Linked DNA regions of Lytechinus pictus. The protein of the gene in region 1 binds, or shares a complex with, the protein of each later gene. Links are inferred from orthologs where the notes say so. Each region holds a gene or a part of one and is shown on either strand. Other genes may lie near its edges.

Evidence for each region. Proteins that work in one complex are often made in the same cells at the same time.
Region 2: the proteins of NADH-ubiquinone oxidoreductase subunit 8-like (region 1) and NADH dehydrogenase [ubiquinone] 1 alpha subcomplex subunit 12-like are in contact, whole or in part, in a cryo-EM structure (PDB 8ESZ), measured with the Drosophila melanogaster proteins. The link is inferred for Lytechinus pictus from reciprocal best matches to the Drosophila melanogaster genes ND-23 and ND-B17.2. Residues at the interface, in NP_524719.1 of Drosophila melanogaster: Glu85, Pro86, Ala87, Thr88, Ile89, Asn90, Pro92, Phe93, Glu94, Lys95, Gly96, Pro97, Leu98, Ser99, Pro100, Phe102, Arg110, Tyr111, Pro112, Ser113, Gly114, Glu136, Thr148, Arg149, Pro176, Asn177, Phe178, Glu179, Phe180, Ser181; in NP_001137770.1 of Drosophila melanogaster: Arg32, Asn33, Asp34, Asp35, Lys37, Phe58, Tyr59, Gly60, Arg61, Arg63, Trp64, Ile65, Phe67, Tyr75, Asp76, Gly77, Ser78, Ile80, Pro81, Ala82, Glu83, Tyr85, Gly86, Met88, His89, Tyr90, Lys91, Thr92, Cys101, Arg102.

The regions. Positions count from the first base shown.
Region 1 is NC_087246.1:7,381,123-7,389,540, forward strand, and holds the start of NADH-ubiquinone oxidoreductase subunit 8-like, read right to left. Parts: upstream 3,254-8,418; 5' UTR 2,961-3,253; coding exon 2,921-2,960; exon of another isoform or gene 2,708-2,920; intron 1-2,707. UniProt on the Drosophila melanogaster protein: Core subunit of the mitochondrial membrane respiratory chain NADH dehydrogenase (Complex I) that is believed to belong to the minimal assembly required for catalysis. Complex I functions in the transfer of electrons from NADH to the respiratory chain.
Region 2 is NC_087247.1:36,286,104-36,294,305, reverse strand, and holds the start of NADH dehydrogenase [ubiquinone] 1 alpha subcomplex subunit 12-like, read left to right. Parts: upstream 1-5,018; 5' UTR 5,019-5,532; coding exon 5,533-5,615; intron 5,616-7,331; coding exon 7,332-7,414; intron 7,415-8,202.

The DNA.
Region 1 (8,418 bases):
TAAACAACTTGGGCAATGTTTATGATCCTGAACGAGATGTGTATCCAACTAAATAATTGCTGCGAACGCGAAGCGCGAGCATAAATTTGTAATGTACGTTTTGATCTGATAAAAAAGGATCTGCTAACGGCAGCTTGTTACCCATGAAGACGTTACATAATTATTTCAACTTTCAAATAATGCGAGCGCGAAGCGCGAGCTGAAAATTTTGACATTTTTACCTGAAGAATGGAAAACGATAGGTATATAACTAAATTGATGTGAGTGCGAAGCGCGAGCTGAAAAATTCGAGATTTAAACCTAAAAATGGGACACTCTATTCATATTTTTTAAATCATGAAAAGGATGAGTAATTGGAAATCTTCATACAGTAATAATGCGAGCGCAAAACGCGAGCAGAATTTTCAAAAATTTATTTTTAATATACGTTTTGATCTGATAAAAAAGGATCTGTTAACGGCTGCTTGTTAGCCATGAAGACGGTACATATTTTAACTATCAAATAATGCAAGCGCGAAGCGCGAGCTGAAAATTTTGACATTTCTACCTGAAGAATGGAAGTTCTAAGCACTTTTTGTAATCGTGAAAAGGATAAGTATGTAACTAAACAATTGATGCGAGTGCGAGCGGAAAAATTCTGGACACTCTATTCATGTTTTGTAAATCATGAGGATGAGTAATTGGAAATTTTTCTACATTAATAATGCGAGCGCAAAGCGTTACCTAATTTTGCGCACGGTCGAATATCTCAATATCTAGAAAAATTGATAGGGCCTATCACAAACAGAAAAAGCGACCCAAAATTACTTAGTATGGCAAATTTCTTGAAGGTATGGTCTAAATTTGTGAAAATATTCGCAAAACATCCGCAATTTTTTTGACCTTGTGCGCCCGCTTCAAGAAAATCTGAACTTCTCGACAAGCTTCAAGAAATCGCCAGTTTGCAAGCAGAGGTCTCCAAATAAGTAAGTCAAATGAAATGTTGTACAAACCTAATTTATGGCATTTTAACCTCTATCCTAGACAGCTGGCAGCGGTCTGTTTCGAGGAGTTTTTTTAACATTTTTAATTTATTTAAAAATTTCTCCTCGTACACAGACGGCTCGCTATCGTGCAGCCACCATTAGGGGGTTAACAAACCGTTGTCTGCTTGATTTATTTTCTAAAGCTTTGCAAAACGATCCTGCGCAAATTAAGGTCACACTTCTTTTTTTATGACACGTTTTTTGCCGAGCACGCACACTAGTCGATCGTCATGGAATTTGAGATTACCGGCGCCCACTCGGTCAAGGGTGAAGGGTTCATTACATTTACATGCCGCTGCGCACAGATAAATCAAGCCATAGAAGTTGTGTGTTGTGGACACCAGTAGTGGGATCCCAACACGCGCGACCCACACTAGTTAGAAATACACTGCCAAAAATTTCAAACTTTACTTCAAAAGTATTTTCCCGCATAATCCATGTTTCTACAATACATTCTCGACAGAAAATTTGACATTTCAGTGCAAGGGAACTCGCTTTAATTTATTTCAAAATAGCTCAAAATGCACTGAAATGTCAATTTTCTGTCGAGAATGTACCGTATAATAATATATTCATTGTAGGCCTATTTGTAGAAATTAGAATTTACTAATAGTATTTAGAAACATGGATCATGCGGGAAAATTGAATATTTAAAGTTTGAAATTTTGGCATGCCTAAATTTTATTTCATGAAATATTGAAGAAGAATTCAAGTGGTCGAGTTGTCCAATTCAGAGCAAACCCTGGACAACTCGACCGGGACGAGTTGACTTGTCCAGCCTCCAGGGCAGCGGGTCGGGTAGACAGGAATAACCGTCGTTTCTGGGGATTTATTCAACAATTTCTGACATTTTACTGTAATCCCCATTTACCGACAGTAGGGTGTACGTGTGGGCTCGCATGTGTTCTCATTCCCTCCCTTTTGTCAATTCACAGTCCAAAGTTTGATGTAATTTTACACATCGAATTTACAATCTAAGGATGTATAAACAACAAACTTTTAATTATTTATATTCCAACATTTAAATACTTTAAACGATATAGATGAAAAATGCATGAAAAATATACTTTACCGATGTTTAATTGGGTTGAACACGATAAAAATGGTCAAAATGGCAGCCAAACTATAAAATATTTACAAACGAACGTCAACAATCACGAATGTGATATCGATATTGCTTTCGATATTATACGATCTGCTCCATATGCGAACGAAACCGAAGATAAACGATACTAGTTATACTAGTACTAGTACTAGTTATAATCGCGATATATCGATTCGAGACATTAAGTTAATAACGATAATGACGTCATTCAAGATGGCAACTTGCAAGAAAAACCGTCAGGTCAGGTGAAAATGTCTTAGATGACAGATTTCTCAATCATCCAGAGGATTTTTTTCAATAACTCCGGCCCAAGGTATGCAATTACTTAATTTATTTATATTTCCCTGATAATGGAAACCATGAAACTTTCAATTTTGCTTAAAAAACAGTTTTAAATCGCGATCTATAAAACGCTAGTTCACTATATACGTTGGCTGTAGGTACGGGGCCCCATCCCCTTCAGTCTATGTATGGTGAGTGGAGCCAACGTAGTTCAGCGGAACAACCAAAATACAGAGACTGAAGCTTTTGGTCTACGGGTCGGGCTGTCCGGACCCCCCATCATAGATTCATACACATCCACAAAAATAATCACATGGGACTAGGCCTAGACCATATTATATAATACTATATACTACCGGGTAGACAACCTCTAGCTTCACTCAAGTCAAAGCTCACTGACACTTTGCCCTGGGGACCTTGACACGTCTTTTATGAAAATATAATTCATCAATTTCTCTATTTCTACTATCACAATATTGCTTGCTGCAAACATGGTAAACAAACTTACCCGTTCTTGAAATTTGAGAAACCAGTCGAAAAGTCGCCATTTTTTCTAGACCAATTATTCTCCGAGATCAGACGCAGATGGCGCGCACATGTCGCTGGTCGCTGGCTTTGCTTTTCTAACGTTAGGTGAGTGTATAAAGTTCTGTAAATGTAACTATGTAAGTGTGAAAATATGGAATCTTCATATATCTGTCATGGTTTAATGCATTTAATCATTCTTAATTTCGGTAGTAGGGCCGTTAGAATAGGCCTACTTGTATTTCGACGTAAATGATTAGTCTAGTCCACCACTCACTCCAGCAAGCGCCACCTCGCCTGTCAAGCCCCTCCAATTAACAAGGCAACAGCTGCAGCACGGTCACGGCGCACAGTGGGCCAGAAGGAGTTGAAAGTGCGCCAAAATTATATTCCGTGTTATATTTTTACTTTAACATGTTGATTTAGGGTAATTTTGGGCGTAGAATCGACTGAACATAATTTAAATCCGATATGACGTCACTTTGATACCAAACTTTGATTGGCTACTTAAAACCTATCTGTGAAAAGACAAATTACGCTAAACAATGTGTACTACTACTAGGCCTAGGCCTATAATATATAAACTTTTGTGTTATGTGTAACTTTAAGATTGACCAGAGTGAATGTCGGTTTATGCTTCTCACTTGCCAAAAAAGTGTGTATGAGATCCTGAAAATAATTTTATGGCATCAAAATGATCATTAGATTAAAAAAATACTTGAAAATATGAAAAATATGAACCGTGCTTTATCAAGCGGGTAGACTTGGGTAAAACGCAGAGTATATACACCACGAATGTTTTACTATGAGGCGGTTTTTGGGTGAAATTATTCTACAAGTAACTTTTATCTCTGGAAGAGAGGCGGGTGGTAAGTAAAATATGAGTTATCAACCTTCATTTTGTTTACATTATGCCCGGAATTCATGTCATTTTCATGGAATAGAAGGGGAATCGTCCTCGCCGTGCAAAAATGAACGGCAATGTACACTCCACACGGTGCGCTGCGATGGCTGCGCGGTATAAAAATACCCGTTTTTTAACAGGTTTTGGGGGTGTTGTGTCAAGTAAAATCGGCTCTAACATGAAAACGGGCAAAAACGGGCAGCTAAATTTGGTATCGACTTAAAGCTTAGACATCTGGCAAAATGATGATGATAGAATTTAAACGGAAATCTACGGAAATCTAAACGTTTCTAATGTAAATGCAAAAAACATGGATTATCAGCCAATTTCGAGGAATAATTATCCTATAAACCTCCTGAAATGTGTCTTTTATCTACTTTGAACCCTTTCACATAAAAAAAGAATATATCAGGATTATGTGGGTGCCATTTCAGATTCCTACATGAAAAGCTTCCTGTGAAATGGCTTGTTTTCCAACTAAGTTGTCATTTACGCGGCATTTCGCTAAATGTCACATTTTACGATTTGAGGTAGGAAATTAACATCCTTTATGCAAATTCCCGAATGAAATATTTTGCTGAAGTATTCTTCAAAGTGTTGTCTTTCAGCTGGGCATGACAAAAATGGAAAATCTGAAATTGCCCAAAATGACTTTTGGCGCACTTTTGTTTCGCCCCGGCCCTCTGTGCGGCGAGGGGTCGGGTTGCACTCCCGGCCCGGTATACCGGCGGATCCTGCGCCTGGCAGATACTGTTCTAGGCACCAATGGCAATGCAAATCCGCCGGCGGATCGTGTTCTACTCCGGCGGATTCAGTATACCCAGTTGTTGTGTGTCCGGACAGGTTGTGTGTCCGGACGATCAATTTTAGAAAGTCATTTGGAAAAATTTACAAGCGAATTTTCATCAATTTTTAGTACAAAATGTTAGGAAATATAGAGAGCAAATATTAGAAGATGGAATAAAACTAATGAATCTATAAAGACTATATATAATGAATCTATAAAGACTATATATTAGTGTAATTCAAAGATGAAAAAGAAGGCTTAAAAAATATAATTATAAACTAAATAGTAAATTAAAATGAGTATAATAAAGTGTCCGGTAGGCTTGGCCTTGGGCGGTTCCCACCTTTCCCAGAAGAACCGACTCCGGCTCTGACCCATCACCCAAGGCTTCGGTTCCGAGAGGAGTCGACTCCACAATCACTTAACACACTAGTGAATTATGAGATACATGCAGAGCTCTTTTCATGTCCATAAAGACAAAGTGAATGGAGCTACTGTGTGCAAGCAAGGAGATAGTGATATCTCCTTGGTGCAAGCAAGATATCCCCTCTCACTCTCTCTCCCTCCCTCTTTCTATATATAGCCTACTCCTCTCTCTCTTCTCTTTTTCAAACCAAACTTTTGGGTTTCTTGTTTGTTCTTGAAACCTTGAAAGTGATCTCGAGGGGGCAATTATGTGGTCAGTAGATAAGAGAAGCCAGACATGTTCTGTTTGGATTAGTCTGCTTGCACAGCCCCTATATGACACTAATAGGTCTAGAGAGCCATGGTCTGGCACAACTACACACTAAACTAACTTGTATATTAGATTTCCATAAAATGATTTTAGCTTGCAATTGTAAACTAAGTCGGGAATTCCCTTCAGCAGGGCATTTATGTGCTGTTGTAAAACAGAATCGGTTCTCTTGTAGGGTGGATCCCTCGGGCTCGAGTAATGGGCCTTGAAAGAATGGGGGTCGACTCCTCGACTCTGGTGACAAGAATCGGGTAGACTCGATTACTCGGCTCTGATGCCCAAGCCTAGTGTCCGGACACCCGACCCCCATCCTACCACTTTCTTCGGAAGATATCGTTCTTGCGCTATCGCGATATCCTTCATTCACATACGTCACATGAAAACTTGTCAAAAGCGGTAGATTTCATCAATCAAAGCTTGCAGAAAAAGATATTTATGTTAATGTTATCTCTATGTGATAGGAGAGAAAAAATTAAATGTGTAATCTGAAAATAACCCATTTTCTATAGAATTGCACCACTTCTAACACTACATGATGATGTTGTCACGGTCTCGGTGCGAGGCCGGTGAAAGCATTTACAAGAAAGTATATTTTTGAGGCAAAATATTCAGCTGTATGCGATGACTGCATAAAACTTGCATTTCTGTTTTTAGTTTAATAGCTTTTGATTTGTCAATTAAATTTTGGGGTCTGGTTTTGGTCTTTAAATAGTCCACATTTAGTCTTCATTCAACTGTCAATGTCTGCTGCACTACTAGTAGTATAAGAATTTACCCCAAGATATGATAATAATGCTTGTAATCGAATAACATGCATTTGTTAATTTATTTTATACCTATTAATTTATTGCAGTATGAAAAATCCTTATCACAATTTTAGGGATAAATTGGGCACAATATGCATCAATTAATATGATTAATACAGAGTATTAAATAAAGGTAAACAATGGCAGTTTCGATAATTAAAATCAGTATTTTGTAATAAGCTTTCTAAAGGGAAGTATAAATAATGATCACTGCAAATGAAATTCTTGATTTACGAAATTCCAATGTATTACTATTATTTCCTCCACATTTTCTCGTATATTTTTCTATTTTCTCTCCCTCCCCTTCCTCTTCTATTTCTCCTTTGTGGTGCTATATTACCCCCGCTTATACGCCCCAGATATATTCATAATATGCCACAAAGGTTACGGAACTGGAAAAGAGGCAAAAGGGGGCGAAATGAGCAGGGACAGAAAGAAAGGCAAAAAAATAAAGAAATGAAAACCAGGAGGGGGTATAGTGAGAAACAAAAGATAAAGGAGAAATTATATTTCACTGTCTTAAGATCCCATATTGATCTTAAAATTAGATGACTGAGAGGTAAATTAGGGAGCACCAAACAGTTCGTGGCGTATCCAACTTTTGTAATGTGAACTTCCGGTCCCCTTTAATTAATTCATTAAAACATTGAAAAAAAAAAGGAATATTTTTTTTAAATACATGAAAAATTAAAAATAGGCTTACCTTACAATAAACTACATAAGAAATTGATCACATTTTGACATTCTGTTTTTTATGTTTGTTAGAAATATCAAATTTATGTTTTCACCAAAAATTAGCATTCTACAAGCAATAATATGAGCTAACAGCAAAACATATTTTCATACACTAATTTGCATCATTTATTTTGAAATATGAAGATTTAACTTGTTGAAATTTGTAGTTTCAAAAACCTATAGGCCTATATAGTAGAGCGGATAAGCCGAACAATAGTGAAAATTATGACTAAAGCATGAAACTTTCACGAGTATTAGTATATGCCGTAAAGATTTATTTTAAAGATGGGAGGTAAATTTATAAATGCCATTTTCGGCCGTTGCCATGGTAACAGATTAATTTCTCCAAAATAACATACATTCTCATGTAAATGGTAAATAAACATGATATAGATGACCAAAATTAACATTTTCAGGCTCCCAGTTGAGTACATATGAAATTTAGAAATATTCAAGATCACCAAGGTAGTTCTAATTGGTCTGTTGCCATAGAAACGGCTTGTTTTTCCCCAGAAAAATATTTGATTAATAAAACGTAGAATATGATTTATCTTTAATATCACCTAATTTTACAGTGCTAAACAAAGATATTTTGGTTGCTAAATGTATAAATTCCATTTCAAGCTATTGCCATGGCAACCAAATAACTTCTAATTTACAACAAAAAAAATGGTTGACAAGACAATGGACAGGTGGAAAATACAATTGGAATTGACTTAATATGTATGCTTAAGTTTTGACCCACTCATTTGAACAAAAAATACAGAGTGTTCTGCAGGAGGTTCCGAGGTTGTCTGTCCAAATCAATAGTAAACGTATAGTCAATAGAACCAAATCCGCGGAGGAACCAAATCTGCAAACATCAAGCCACGTCAAACCCGGCGGATATGGTTCCGATTTAAACACGATATCGGCCATTTAGAACGATATCTGCCGGCGGATACGGTATCTGCCGGTGGAACCAAATCCGCCGCTACACCGGCCGTACCGGTAGTACCCCGCCTGTAACCGGCCCCGTCATGATGTGCTGGGGTGGTATTCTGGGCCCCGGCCCGTTTCTCAACACTGGAACAAGTTAATCATATCTTTATCCACCAACCACCAGTAGAGGTGCCGGTCCAAAAATTGGGATTGTCCCAGAAAACATGGATTTGATCTAGACCAAAAGCTTTGGACTCTCTTTTATTGGTTGTTCCGCTGAACTCTGTTGGCCCCACGTGTCTTAGCCAGGAGGCTTCTAGAGTAAAATCATTTACTAACGTATGCTTACCCTCCACGAAGCCAGGGATTCTATTTCATTCATCTACACATACCGCCAAAAAACCTAAAACTTTCGCCCCCGAGATTTCTACTTCTAAAATATCTAGCCCTAAATCCTGTAGTGTAAATGGGATACAACTTCATTTCCGACATTTCTACTCTATCGATTTCATTTTTAAACAAGAATTCATAAAAAAAATGAGAAAAATAATATGAAAAGTCATGATTAAGGTCAAAGGTCACTTAGGGTCGA
Region 2 (8,202 bases), on another chromosome or scaffold:
TTTCTTGTTGCTTGAAATTGAGTGCGATAATATGATTTCTTTGCAGTACGAAGGACTGAAGTAAGCGTATTTTTATAATTTACATAACGTTTACGTGAAGATTCGGTACCACGCACTTTATACGAATAATACAGCTTGTTTTTCTTGTTAATGGATCTCAACAAAGAAGCACTAACCCATGGCATAATAGGAAAATTTTTACGATTTCTTCTACTTTGCTTTACAACTGGTACATTTTTATTATACAGAGACATGAATTTTTGTAAGAACCTTTTAAACGATATGTTCACATCATTTTCTTTAAGAACTTCACTCCAGTCAGTTTCTATCAAGGCTGCCCGCAGCTTTGCGATATTAGCGGAAGTGTTTTTCCGAATTGATTTGGGTTCTTGTTTACAGACTCTATCCAAGTTTAGATGAGCGAAGATTGGGAAATGATCTGAAATATCTGATACAATAATCCCTGAGGATGGAAAAGGTTGTCTATTATAGAAAATGTTATCTATGAGCGTAGATGAAGCTTCAGTTACCCTTGTTGGTTTAATAATTAATGGCATTAAGGAAAAGGACAGCATATCATATTAAGAAACGCATCATAATGATAATTTTCATCACACTGAAGGAGGTTTATGTTATAATCGCCCATTATGAAAATTGTTTTGTTTACGAAAAGTGGGTTTGAAAGAATACTATGCATTTCGTTCACAAAACTCTCTAAGTTACTCTGAGGGGGTCTATACACAACTCCAAATAAAACATTTCTTTTTCCTGGAATGAAGCACTCTGCGAATATTGATTCCATATGCTCAGTCATCATATTTAGCTCATCCCTTAATTGAAAGTCCACTGAATCTGGAATATATAAAGCAACTCCACCTCCTTTTTTAGCATATCTATGATTAGACACAAGATTATGACCAGGAATATGATAAAGATTTAAGTCATTCTCACTCGAGAACCAGGTCTCAGTGACTCCAATCACTGTTTTACTATCTTCATATAGGGTTTACACCGGGAGCAAGTCCGTCTAGCGTTGGCCTTTTCAACTTCAATTTTCAATTCAATTCAATTCTACACACTAAGAAATGTTTGAACCCAAAATGAAACACTTGTACCAACCTTGTGGGGTGTAATCTTGCACCCTAAGAGGCAACAGGTGTAAAAATACACCTTTTTATCATTATATGCACCAAGAAATACTCGCTCGCACCCTAATAGGTGCAAATATGAACCTGTTAGGGTGCATAATACTTGACATTAAAAAAGGTTCAAATTTGAACCTTTATTACATGGTTCAATATTTCGCACCCTATAGAGTGCTTAACGTAGCTAAATGCACCTTCAAATGAGCATAATTGCACTCATTAGCACCCCTTTGGGTGCAGCTATTGTACCAACCCGGAGGGCTCAAATTTGATCCCCTAATTCTTAGTGTGTATATATATTTCATTTCCATTCAAAACATAATACAAAATAATATAAATCAGATACAATTGTAAAGATGAACATTCTTACTTCGTAAAAACCAGTATAAAATTGAGCATAAATGGAAATAAGGGGGGGTCCACTAAAAGCAAAGCTTGCAAAGTGTGGATCCCCCAAAATATTGTCGACTTATTCATAATTATATACAGGAAAGAAAAAAGAGAAGGAACAAATAGGTCGAAATCAGATTGATGTAACATAATTATGTTTAATTACTGATCAAATGCAAAGGTATTCACACAAAGAGGTCTCCGCTATGAAGGATTGCGCATTGGACAGAAGAAAAGAAGAAAGAGAGAACGAATGACATAGAAGACAAGACAAAACAAGAGACATGACAGGACACGACAAGAACATAGAATGGGGAAGGGCTGACCACAGACCAGCTTGATCTAGTGAAATAACAAAAAGATGATATAACTGGCATTACTGGACAGTATATATAAGAGAAAAAAGATTAAACAATAAGAATGAAAAACGAAAGGATGATAATCAACGTAATGAAGTGTTAGTTCCGTTGCGAAGAATTATAGGAATGAAGCAGGATAAGTTGAGTTTACGTTTGAATGCATTTAAAGAGATGATCATTACCCCCCCCCCTCCAAAAAAAAAGCTAAGATTTGCTAGGGCTAGGCTAAACTATATCAACATTTATTATTTGCATGAAAAACAATAAAATCAAGTACCGTGAGAATTTAGTGACATTATTTACCATTCGACTGATAAAAAATGAGGCCTTTATGATTGTCCCGGGATGATTGTACATATGGGACCGGGGGCAGTCCTGTACGTATACCGCGTTATAAACTTCAGAATACATATTTGCCGATTTTAGCGTCTTCCTATCTCAGTGATAAATTATAAAAGATAATAATGGAGATAAGAACTTATTCAGAATAAAAAAGAAAATGGGGGGAATGAGGGAAAAGAGAAGAGGAAAGATAACAGAGGAAGACTGTTGTAGATAAGTGAATAAAATAAAGTTAGAAGACTTAATTGGAAAAAAAAATTTCATGACACTATTATTATGACTATATGAAATTTCGCTCGCGCTTCACGCTTGCATTAATTGTTAAAATATATTAACCCATGCAGGCATATCCTATTCATAATTACAAAATTGCTTAAAACGTCAAATTTTGGCTCTCATTAGTCTTATATATAACTGACATTTTTAAATTGTAGAATGGAATATCGACAAGTTTCATCTCTCGCCTAGAAAGAGCTCATAGGAAGATATAGTCATCATATTCATATTATGACAAAATGTCCTTAGGATGTCCCCCCCCCCTTGGGTTCCCGGTCCTACAGGCAGCGGCGTAACAGGGGTCGGTGGCCAGGGGGGGCATGAGCCAAACATTTCCCGGTCATATCATGGTATACACTAGCGTACCTACGGGGGGGGGGGGCAGAGGGGGCACTCTGCCCCCCCTGACGAGCCACAACCCATACAAAAGACATATGCCCCCTTGACGAGCTTAAAAGACCTTTTTTGCCCCCCCTGACGAACTTGAAGACCTTTAATGCCCCCCCTGAAGAGCCTGAAGAAATTTTTTTTTTTTTTTTTTGCTTGTCACATTATTTTCTGGTACGAAAACCAAAAAATTTTTTTTGAAGACCTTCTTTTTTTTTTTTTTTTTTTGCTTGTCAATTTTTTGGGCGGCCGATTTTACCTCCCCTGTGGAAAATCCTAGGTACGCCACTGATGGTATATGAACAGGCGCAATGGTGTAATGAGGCTATGAGACTATTTTGAGAAGGCCAGATATTGCGTATCGGGCAGAATTTATCTTTAAAAACAGTTGCGAGCGAGCAAAGCGAGCGAGCAAAAATTTGGACCTTTTTAATACAAAAATTCAATTTTGTGATAGATTTTGACATGATATCCAGAAAATAATATATTTCACTCTTCCCTCTTTAGATTCCTTTTTTGTGGTCTGTACGCCACTGTGAACAGGATTCTTTGTGGAAGTAGCGTGAAGAGTAAAAAAAGAAAAAAAAAAAACAGGGGAGCAGTATAGCACATGTGCTAAAAAGTTGCTTCATATAAGTCCCGAGCGAGCGAAGCGAGTGAGAAAAAAAATCACCTTTTCATGAGAATCTAACTTTGAGCTATTTTTGACATTATATTCAGTAAATAAAATCATATCCTTCACTTTTCCTTTGCTTTTTTTTTAATTATTCTTGTTTGTAGAACTTTTGGGGGCCATGGCCTAACCCTTCCATACGCAGTGCTGTGCGGTTGGGGTCTGGGCGGAGCTCCCGGAACTTCTTGATATCAAAGCCATTTAAACCTCGCAGATTGCCGCTATTTTAATCAAATCGCGGTCATATACAGAAGCTTTTACACAACACATTTATTCAACCCGGTCGCATAATGAACCAAATATTTTTAAGGGGCAAAACATAGCAATGTGGGAAAATTTGTAAAAAAAAGTCGCCAGCATGCAAAGCGGGCTGGAAAAAAAATTACCAATTGAAATTAAATTCTAATTATGTGATAGCTTTTTCCATTATATTCAGCAAATAACGCATTTCATTGTTTCCATTCATTTCATTATACGTTGTCTCCTACAATTTCTTTAATTTTCTCTTGGGTGTGGAACCAAGACCCCCCCCCCCCCCCCGCTTGTATGCCAGTGATTGATTGTGATTGAACGGGGGGGGGCGTTATAGAGCCATTTGAAGGTTATAAATGAAGAGCCCCTACTGCGTGGGGTCTGGGGCAAAGCCCCGGTAGCTTATTTGCATAAAATTTAGCAAGCTTATAGCACAATGTTGTATGCAGTCCATCTTTTTTCCCGCTCTTTATTTTCAATCATCGGCAGCCCGGTCGTGTTATTATTTGTTTTCCTTGTCCCTTTTCTTTTCCAATTTAGCTTTTGACTAACCCTCTCTAACTTCGTTTCCCGCTATTGGTTGCCATTTTGTCATCTTTTAATTCATTTCCCACCGTGCTATTGCATTACATAGGCCTATTTCGGAATGATTTGTTCTTTCTCAAATGTTCTTCTTTCGTACATTTTCCCGCTTTCCTTCCTTTTCCATTAACAAAAATAGTTTTTTCTTCGTTTTCTTTTGTTATGTTATGTTATGTTATGTTATACCGAGGTTGTTTTACCTGACTGCTAAGAAAGCACGAATGCCTGTGAGCAAGCAACCAGGGGACCAATGGCTTAAGGTCCTCTCCGAGGGACCTGGTAATGAGGATAAATGCCTTACCAAAGGGCACTAGCGCACCACTTGGGAATCGAACCCGGGCCACCGGAATCCCTTTCCCTTTCCTTTTCCTCCTTTCCTTTTCCCCTTTCCGTCCCCTTTCCCTTTCTTTCTCCCTCCTTTTTTTTCTTTTTCCCGTTTTTCTTTTATTTTCCCGGTGAAATCCGCCAGGGGGGCAACTTGCCCCCCCTGCCCCCCCCCCCCCCCCGCCTGTTACGCCACTGCCTATATACAGGTAAAAAATATATATCAGCTCGTGCTCCCATCATTTTACGTGCGGCGTTGCGGTCTGACTGGATCAGGCTAGATCAAACGTATCAAAAATTTCTGCTCGCGCTACCAGTATGCATCTTGTTCAGGATCACAAACATTGCCCAGAATGTTCAAATTTCAGGACAAAATACATGGACTTCAGTTCCAAACATTTTAGCTCGCTCTCGCACTATTTAAATAGGGCTTATATGAGAATATTATTATACATCTATGTTGTTAATTTTTTTTTATATATATAGCTAAGAATAAGATAGACTTAAGCGGCCGATTTGGGGAAAATTTAGGTGAAAAAAAATCGCCCCCTCCCCCTTTGTGAAAGCTGGATCCGCCCAATTGATCTCCGATAATAGACTCTCCAAGGTTAAGGAGAAGAAGGGGGCCGCGGGGGGGGGGGTGGATCCCAGGAATACCAGCATGCACACAACGAGTGCCGGAAATTTATCTCCTGTGCAATTACAATGACTGTATGACAAAATCGTGATAATCTCATTGGATGTGCGTATGATATAGGTTGCATGAAAGTGGTTTGTCCGCGACACGTTGTTATTCTGAATTATGGCGTCGACAATACGTGGGAGGTTCTTCCAAACTATCAAAGAATGTGGTGGTATAAGGGGATCATTCTGGAAATTACTGAGGTAAATTATTTCTTAAATGCTTTTTATGATGTAGCCGGTGTACAGTTTTATTCCTTTTTATATGATAAGTTATATTGATGGGTGTTGTTTGCCAAACTCGCTAAAACTATGATTCTGAATCTTCTTGGACAGTCCCGTCTATTGAATATTCTTGTCGGGTGCTAACCCAGGGAGCCCAGGGGCTTACCGTGTATTTTACCATACTCACGGGACTAGGGTGATTTATGGTCTAAATATTTCTCCAAATGAATTGTGAAAACAGAAATTATGCACTTACCACGATTATATGGTTGAAGGTCTAACGTTAACGAGTGGCAGTTTCCTGACATCTGGGCACAAACTGGAACCTAAAAAAACCGAAAAGTTCTCTCCTTCTAGTTCTACCCCAGTCTCGATCGACCATTTTGTTACAATTCATAACAAAAATGGCCCATCGAGACGGGGGTAGAAGGAGAGAACTTTTCGTTTTTTGAGGTTCCAGTCTGTGCCCACCCAAGGGTTCATTACATGCCGCCGCGCACAAAAAATTCAAGCCATAGAAGTCGTGTGTTGTGGACCCAAGAAGTGAGATCCCAGCACGCGCGACCCACTAGTTAGAAATCCACTGCCAAATGCGGTTCGTGGTGCGAGGTTAGTATACTAATACTAACCTCGTAATACGTGTGAGTGGTCTGTGCCCAGATGTCAGGAAACTGCCACTCGTTAGACCTTCATCCATATAATCGTGGTAAGTGCATAATTTCTGTTTTCACAATTCATTTGGAGAAATATTTAGACCATAATTCACCCTAGTCCCTTGAGTATGGTAAAATACACGGTAAGCCCCTGGGCTCCCTGGGTTAGTCGGGTGCATGTTGATGACGGGTCCTGTACTGTAGCTGTCTAACTTGTTAGTACTTAGAGTATAATGCCCGGCTGAATGATGCATGCATGGGTTGCCAAACATTAAAAAAAATAATCATCAGGGTAAAATTCTATACCAAAATATTCATATGTTAAACAAATAAATTCAAACAATAGTTGGCTACCATACCACTGCACTTGGCCGCAAGATCGCGATTGCGATCATACGACTACGTAGACCTAAGTTGTCTTCTAACAAGTTAGACTTAGGCCTAGTTGGTTTTTTTTAAGTAAGAATGTGTCAATTGACACCTGACTGAATTAGAAGATCTATCTAACAGAATGATCTAATTCAACTTCCCCAGTATCGCATATCTCGATCTCAAAATTTAATTCTATGCTGATCAAGAAGTGTAGGCCTAATGCTGTGCTGGAAAACTACTCTGTAGTCTACACAGTAGTCTACAGCAATGTCTGACAGTGCTGGGTTTAATACACTCACACTACTGGCGTCCACAACACACGACGTCTATGGCTTGATTTTTCTGCAGCGGCATGTAATGAACCCTTGAGTGGGTTTATTAACAACACTGACTGGGGTCATCTTTTCCTTGCAATAAAAAAGAACCATTTGAGGGAACATCTCCAGTCGTGATGATCTCATTAGATAGGGTCTACTCTTAAGGGTAAAAGTCACAGTCACAGATAATTTGACAATTTTAAAAGATGTGTGTGATATATATGGTGGGAGCAGAAATTTCAACTGCTTGCAATCAAGAATCCATCTACAGTTATCCCTGATTGTATTCAGATCAATTTATTCTTGCTTCGACTCAACCAATATATTTTTCTCTGCTGTTTAAAAACCATTAGGGGAGAAGATCTTAAGATTGGTGCTCTTGTTGGTGAGGACAAATATGGCAACAAGTACTACGAGAATGACAAGTTCTTCTTAGGTAAGGATGGCAAGCATATATTGTGCTCTGAAGCATATTCATTGATCACATTATGGTTGTAAAATTAATTACTGATTTGAGGGTTACTGTCTATTTTCTGATGGTTGCTTGGAAGGAGTTGATTAGGCTTATTCCTCTTTACATGTTGATGTCCACCCTGATATGAAGTTGGTGTTTATAAAAATAGGAAAATGAGATGAACATATGATTGAAGATTTAATGAAAATCCTGAAAAAATAATTGTAGTTTAAAAGTATTTTTTTTACATCACATAATGATGTGAGCAGCTCTTCCAAATTTCATGAAATATGAATTTCACAAAGTGCAATTTTCGCAGAAACTTTTTAATCATTTAACCTGTGCATTTAATCAGGCACATTCTTTTATCCATAATTTATCATTGACCATCCACACAATAGCACTTGATAGAAATTGCGTCAGTGGCATACCGTACCTGGGAACTGTTTTAATGTGATATCAAACAATTAATCAAAAAATTATCAGAAATTATCTACTTGTTGCTGGATTTCCCTAAACCTCCATAAATCTTCATAAATGGTTCCCTGATTGTTCCTGCATTTTATCAAAACCAACTTCATGTAGATGTTAGAGTTGAATAAACCTTCCTTACAGATTACGTAATTACTCACAGTGGATTATTAAGATTTTGTTTTAGCCATTACTTTTGGTGAAATTCCTTTTTTTTTTACTTCCTACCTTCTGATTCTTGATAACTATAATTATAAAAAGCAATGTTCAAGTATTTTCCTTTTTGTCTTGCCTGAACG